2 linked regions of the Schizosaccharomyces pombe genome follow. The protein of the gene in region 1 interacts with the protein of each later gene in a pairwise test. Each region holds a gene or a part of one and is shown on either strand. Other genes may lie near its edges.

Region 1 (3,621 bases):
CTTTCGCAACTTCGGGTATACCCTCATGGAATGGTAACCAAAGCTCATCGGTGCGAGGCTCTACATCTTTTGTTGGGTCCAATGGATAAAAAATGCGTACTTTTACGGTTCTTAGTTTGTGTTCAATGGTTTTATATTCACATCGAAATTCCTCTGGAACACTCAGCTCTAAGACTAAAGACCCCACAGGCAAGGGACCACAGTAGGCAGGTAATTGCTTTTTCGAAGAAAATCCCAATCCCATTTCTACCTAACAAATAAGAATGTAATGTAGAAATATATAAATTTATTTTATTTTAAAGAATGAAAGATTGTGTCAAAAACGATTCAATCAAATTACAAGAGCACAGTGATGATGTATTGTTAATTGCTATGATCACTGTAGTAGGAATAGAATGGAATAATGCCAGAAACAAAAACAAAATATCTCTTTCGTTAACAAGCACTTATAAACATAAATAAAAAAAATAAAATTAATAAATTTTTGGCCTTGCAAGGTAATATGAATCTGTCTGCTGCAAATTTTAATTTTTGGTACGATTCGTACGATTGTGGTAGAAGAAGGAAGACGATGGAAATTGACGAGCATCTATATATAAAGTAAGGGGTTATGATGAAAGATGTCCTTTTAGCCGGTTCGTTTTTATAATGTACAAATCAAAGCAATTGACTCAATAATCAACTTTTGGCATAGGAAAAGGGTTACTTGCACAGCAATTCGAGCTTAAACCGCTTCCATTTGGAGGTCCATCTCCTCGGTCAAATTACTATCTTTTGAAGGAGCAACAGGCTCGTTTTTCTCATGAGCATTGGCTATTGACGGTGTGAAATCCTGTGATGAGTGAGATGACACAGTTGAAGCAGCGTGAAATGACATTGCGTATTCGTCAAGTTCTTTGTCTAAATCTTCGTGTGAAATTGAATTATTAGAAGACTTTTTTGAAGAAGAACGAAATGATCTGTCGTCTTTTTTTGAAGAACGGTTGAATCCTCGGTTCGAACGAGAAGACCGGCTTGGTTTGCGGGCTGAATGTGGCATGTCGGAAATCCGATCGAATAAGGAAGGTGGAGACTTTTTCGAAATTTGAATTTCGGAGCCCTTCAAGTTCGTAGATTGAAGCGTCTTCTGGGCATCTTCAGCATCTTGGGAAGTTTCAAAGTAAACATCGCAGGAGCCTTCAGAGCGACCTGCACGATCATAGTTCATAATCACGCGAATTGGATGGAAATTTTCAAACAAAGACTTAAGAAAAGGTTAGTTTATTAATAAAAAAAGCGATTCGAAATCGGAACAAAGCTCTACTTAGCTTGACAGGGAGATTTTTTGTCAGGTTCGTTTCATAATCTTCAATCGAAAACTAAAAGCGAGGCTTTTGAAAACATAGTAAACATATATCACTTACCAAAACATCTTTTTCCAAAACCTGATAATGTAAGTTTTCCACACGAACCCCAAATCGATTTTCTGAGCTAAGATTGCTGTGTTAGTATATAATGATAATAACAGTGCATGTAGACTAAGAGCTAATAGAGTAATAAAAAAGTTTACAGCTTATCTTATAAATTCAAAACATACTGTTGTCTTTTCTGTAGGTGAGTGGTCCTTGGATGAGCATCCTGCTCTTGATCCAAGTCATGCTGCCACGGGCCATCGTCTGGACTAGAGTTGTGTTCTTTTGATGCTCTTTTGAATTTGTAGGTCTTAAAAAGTAAAAAATTAGTAAATAAACACTTAATCCTCGAAATTAGCATACCAATCGCGATTTTTTGGAAATACGATTTTGAGATCCCCTTCGCCGACTGTGCTTGTGATCAAAACCATTCTAGGATTGTTAAAACAAATATCGAAAATAAAAAAATTTACCGTTCTTTCATTTATAATTTCGTCCAAGGACTTTTCCAGCGACATTTGAAAATTGGTACTTGGCACGAAAATGTCGACTGGTAAAAATTAACCCGGGGCATTCCAAAAAGGAGATTTCCATACCAATTGCAGATTTTCCTGACATAAATTAATATATGCACCTCTTTTTTTATTGTTTTTTAGCTCTCCTTATTTTTCATTCATCTTGCACTACGGTCCTAGAAAGTGTATCTTTCGCCAACAACCCATCGTCTTTCTGCAATTGCTGTTTTCCTTACATTTAAACAAATTCTTCTAATTACTTTCTTATTCTTAAAATATTCAATATTCTTTAGTTGATTTAAATTTTTGGGTCCATCTACCAATAGTTTGTTAGACTTTGCCTTCAAACATGAATTTTCGTCCAGAGCAGCAATATATACTTGAAAAGCCTGGTATTCTTCTCTCTTTTGAGCAATTGCGCATTAACTTCAAACACATTTTGCGGCACTTGGAGCATGAATCGCATGTGATCAATTCCACATTGACAACGTTGATCAGTCAAGAGAATGCATCAATGGATGAAAAAATAGAAAAAATAGATTCTCTCCTTTCAAGAGTCAGTACTGTAAAGAAGAAGGTAAGTTTGATTGATTCTTTTTTTGAGTTGGATATTTGTAACTTACATGGTTCTTTGTGTAGATGAAGCATTTGCATGATTGTGAAGCTCTGTTTATCAAGCAAACTAAGTCACGACTGTTGTTCATGAATCGTCTTCAAGGAATTCGTGACATGGAATCTGCGGATTTTTTAGATTGGTCAAGAGTCAGACTGAATCGTTTAGTTGCTGATTATATGATGGCGAATGGGTACCATGGGGCAGCTGCTCTACTTTGTAAAGACTCTCAGTTGGAGAATTTGGTTGATTTAGGCATATATAAGCGTTATCAGCTCATTCACGATTCCATTCTTCAACAGGAGCTCAAAGAGGTTTTGTCTTGGTGTTCGGAGCATCGAGCAATTTTAAAAAAAAATAATAGTACATTAGAGCTTGAGGTCCGACTACAGAGATTTATAGAATTAATAAAAAGTAAAAAACTTTGCCAAGCCATTGCATTCGCCAAAGCGCACTTCGGTACTTGGGCAAATGAACATCCTGCTCGACTACAGCTAGCGGCTGCCCTACTAGCTTTTCCTGAATTTACGAATGGTTCACCATATTCGGTAAGTTTACATTGAGAGACCTCTGCTCTTAGCTTATACTGACAAATTAGTTGCTTCTATCCGATGACCGATGGGAATATTTGGCTTCCTTGTTTACCAGCAATTTTACTGCCGTTCATAATATACCGTCTGTACCTCTTTTACATGCATTGTTAGCTGCTGGTCTATCTTCCCTGAAAACCCCGTTGTGTTATCTTGACGCGAATGATGATAATCCTTTAGCATTACAATCCCAGACTGTGAAACAATGCCCTGTATGTACGCCCTGCTTAAATGACCTTGGCAAAGCTCTTCCTTATGCCCATATTACTCAGTCTGCGATAGTGGATTCTCTGACAGGCGAAGGACTTGACAGCGACAATTGTCCTGTTGCTTTCCCGAACGGTCGAGTTTATGGTATCCAGAGCCTCATAAGTTGGAACGAAGCTAATGGGACTAGAGAAGGATTTCTTAGAGACCCTTATTCTGGCAAAGAGTTTCCATTCCAACTTCTTCGTAAAGTTTATGTGGTTTGATACTGTTTATTCTATAACGCATTTTCTGTGAGTTAAGGA
Region 2 (3,757 bases), 3.1 Mb from region 1:
TATTTTACTTTTCTAATTATAGAGTTTTTTGCTTTGACCAAATACCCTTTTGTTTTAAAAATGAATAAAATTACGCTTTGCCGTTTAGACTGTATTTATTTAGCTTTCAGACTTCGCAAAGCAAGATGATTGAACACTGTTCCTTGCTTAACATTTGTCAATTCAAATTTAATTAATTTTAAGTATAATTTTCGAACAATCTACGTTTTCTGAGTTCATTTAATTATGCGTTAGCATGAAAAAATTCCTTTTCTGCGTGATCATTCCTTGCTATGGGCATAAGGCTCTCTATTACAGAAAAACCGAACGATGGGTCTTTTTTAAGGACTAAAGTTGATGATGCATGAATGATATAACCTTTAATATATCCTTGGTCAATTAGAGAAACACAGATACATTCGACATCGTCCATGTCATATGAGTTATCATTTGTACTTAAACGGGCCGCGGTTAACAAGTAAGAACCAGATACGTGCGGGGTTTTTTGGCTTTGCTCAAAAGTAAAAAGAAACCTTTTTAAATTAGTCGAATATTTTAAAAAATCTCAAACGTACACCTTTCTAAATAAATTCCTCCACAGGATGATTTCACATCTATCCAATAAAGTTAGATATATTCCTCGTTTGATAAACCATTTCCTCCTGGAATTGTCCTCCAAAGATAATCTGAACGACTTGATATCACCACTTTTCAAAGCTTTTATTAAAGGTTCGAATGCTGCAGTCAATTTGTATTTTTCTAATAGCCCTTTTGTTGGCGATTTTCCTAATATAAGTAAACACGTTGTAAGATAGATTAGAGAAAGCCTTTTTTGATTAGTAAATATAAACGAATCCTATTTTTGAGTAAAATAAAACATACCTTTTTTGATGATAACACTCATCAGGGCACTGAAGAAACGAAAAAAGTAGATGGTCCTTTGCCTGATGAATTTTGCGTTGATAAAGATGACACCTTCCTAAATAATAACGAAACGTTACTAATTCCGCCATTGTAGCGCGAGAAATATCGGCACCCGAAGAGATGACATTAGCTTGAATAGTTTGGCAAAGACGAATTTGCTTTAAGCGAAAATATAGTAAACAAAGTAAATTGGCAATACAGAATATCGCATCCTTCTTCGAAGGGTTAATGTTTTGTTGACGATCACTCAGTATACTATTGAACGTTCGTAAGACGTTCCTAGATGCATCGCTCACGTATTTCCTCTGTATGAACCCATTACCATCAAAAGAATCTTCTAAAGTAGGTGTAGATGTATCTAGCTGAAGGGAGAGCTTTACATAAAGCTTTGAAACGCGTTTTACAATTGTACACAACCATGCTCCATCGATATGGGAGAAGCAAGTTGTCAAGTTACTAGAAAAACAAAAGTGAGAAATAATAAACAAAAAGTTTTTAATTACCTATACAAGTTTTGTAACAATTCCCATTTTCGTTGATCAGGAGAAGATGCAGCATTTTCAACGTACTCAAAATAGGTAGTTACCAATTCCTTCCAACCTCTTATTCTTCCAAATTCTTTTTGAATGGTTCCGTTTAACTTATTTTTCCCCTTTCTATCCTTTATCACGGTTAGTTAATGTTATAACCTGAAGACAATTACTTGTAGTGCAAGCCTGCGACATACCAAAAAAAGAGTTTTACTGAGCTGTTGAAACGAGGGCTCTGATGGATCTAAAATAATACATTTCTCCAACGTATTGGAGTTTTTCTCTCCAACAGCGTTACTCAAAGTTTGCAGAAAGTCATTTAAGGACATTCCAACCTGTTCCTTCGCAACTTTTAGTACTAAACTTTCAATTATTATGTAACGATAAATAAGTTATAACAAGAAAACTCAACAGATATGTTTTCGCTTACATCGATGTTCTCCAACTCTCACGTTCTGAACCTCATATACGAATAACGAAAGTTAGCAGGTCGTAAACCGGTATACGAGGATTGTTAATAGCACAATAAAGAGACATACTAAGAGTACAGCAGCATTCCTCAAATTAAATGCTACCAGCATCAATCCCCAAAACCGTAGCACTTTATATTGATTTAGTCTTAATCATCTCGGTTTGAAAAGATTCTGTTTCGAGTCTTTGCCAAGAATTAGGGAAATAGTAAAATATGCTTTTACCTAGTATTCCCTCGTGTTCATTTAGCTTTGTTGTTTTCGTTTCCGTTCTTCTCCAAACCTGTTTTAGTTTTCAATTAACTCCCTTAAGTCCGAAAAACTATCCTCCCGGTGCTTCAATTGATACAACTGTCAATACCATTTCACCATTTATTGGAGATGGACGGGGTTCTGACATCTTTAATTATGAATGTACGTGGTTGATAGCTCACATGAAGGTTCATGTGTTTTTTTAAAAACTTTACAATTTTAAATTAGGAAAACACTATAGAAATATGATTTAATGAAGGATATAACATTTTCTCTCGAACTTTTTTGCTTGTTACTAACTTCACTTTAGACTACGATGAGCGTTTCCACTTCTGTCGACCAGAGAATATCGCAAAACAATCTGAGTCACTTGGAAGTGTGCTTTTTGGCGACCGTCTCTACAACTCTCCCATTGAAATAAAAATGCTTGAAAACCAGGATTGTGTTCCCTTGTGTGCCTCGATAATTCCCAGTTCAGATGTCAGTTTTATTAGAGATTTAATCTCCAAAAACTACGTTGTTAACTGGAACATAGATAATCTGCCCGTAGCAACATATTTAGAAGGGACTAACTCAAAGAACTACTCATTATCGCCAGGCTTTCCATTAGGCAAGAATACGGAGAAGGGAGTAATTCTATTCAATCATTATGATATAGTTATAGAATATCATACGACATCTAGTGACCAACACCGTGTTGTGGGTGCTTATGTAAAACCTGTCTCAAAGGAGTCTACTTTAGTTGATGGAAACCCAGTTTGTTCTTCGTCTTCAAATCCACAGTATTTACCGGAAGGAGCTGATCTTACTCTCGTGACCTCTTACTCAGTCTCTTGGAAATATTCCGATACTCCATGGGCTACCCGATGGGACAAATATATGCACATTGAATCTAGGCAAATTCGATGGATCTTTATTATCCATTCCGCAATTATTGACACATTTCTAATTTTTGTGGTTTCTATTATTTTGTACAGAACGCTAAATCGTGACATTAATAAATATAATAGCGCCTTTGTCGATCAAGAAGATGTTCAAGAAGATTTTGGTTGGAAGCTAGTTCATGGTGATGTATTTCGTCCACCTCGTAGACCCATGCTATTTTCTATCCTTTTAGGGACTGGTGCACAACTTCTTTTTATGAGCTCTGGTATCGTTTTATTTGCAATTTTTGGCATTGTTGCACCCTCTCGTCGTGGAAGTTTAGCTACAGCAACGGTGGCCTTATTCATTATATCAGGTTTCGTTTCTGGTTATGTATCTGCATTATCCTACAAACTGATGCAAGGTATGCTTAGAAAGCGAAATCTTCTGTTAACTCCTTTTGTCGTACCTGGTTTTATGCTTGCGGCAGCTCTTTTCTTTAACATGGTATTTTGGAGTAAAAGTTCATCATCAACTGTACCCTTTTCAAGCTGGCTTCTACTCATTTTCCTGTATCTATTGTTTACTGTACCATTAAGCTTTGTCGGTTCTTTAATCGGCTTTCGTTCTCGAGAGTTCGTCCCACCTGTTAGGACAAACCAAATCCCTCGTCAAATTCCATCTCATAGTATTTGGCTTTCGAGTTTTCCTAGTGCGATTATCGGTGGATCTATACCA

The links. Proteins that work in one complex are often made in the same cells at the same time.
Region 2: the proteins of tho4 (region 1) and pci2 interact in a two-hybrid assay, tested with the Schizosaccharomyces pombe proteins (one study listed by BioGRID).

The regions. Positions count from the first base shown.
Region 1 is NC_003423.3:400,441-404,061, forward strand, and holds tho4 (THO complex subunit), read right to left. Parts: upstream 1,926-3,621; 5' UTR 1,910-1,925; coding exon 1,865-1,909; intron 1,824-1,864; coding exon 1,755-1,823; intron 1,702-1,754; coding exon 1,577-1,701; intron 1,560-1,576; exon of another isoform or gene 1,471-1,559; coding exon 1,404-1,470; exon of another isoform or gene 1,244-1,403; coding exon 725-1,243; 3' UTR 514-724; downstream 1-513. Other genes in the region: plg7 (1-alkyl-2-acetylglycerophosphocholine esterase), read right to left, coding at 1-244; gid9 (ubiquitin ligase complex subunit), read left to right, coding at 2,256-2,483, 2,546-3,067, 3,118-3,582.
Region 2 is NC_003423.3:3,518,243-3,521,999, forward strand, and holds the start of pci2 (TREX/TREX2 complex subunit Pci2), read right to left. Parts: upstream 1,862-3,757; 5' UTR 1,763-1,861; coding exon 1,631-1,762; exon of another isoform or gene 1,565-1,630; coding exon 1,407-1,564; intron 1,360-1,406; coding exon 862-1,359; intron 848-861; exon of another isoform or gene 807-847; coding exon 555-806; exon of another isoform or gene 513-554; coding exon 224-512; 3' UTR 1-223. Other genes in the region: EMP70 family endosomal transport protein Emp70, read left to right, coding at 2,119-2,317, 2,466-3,757.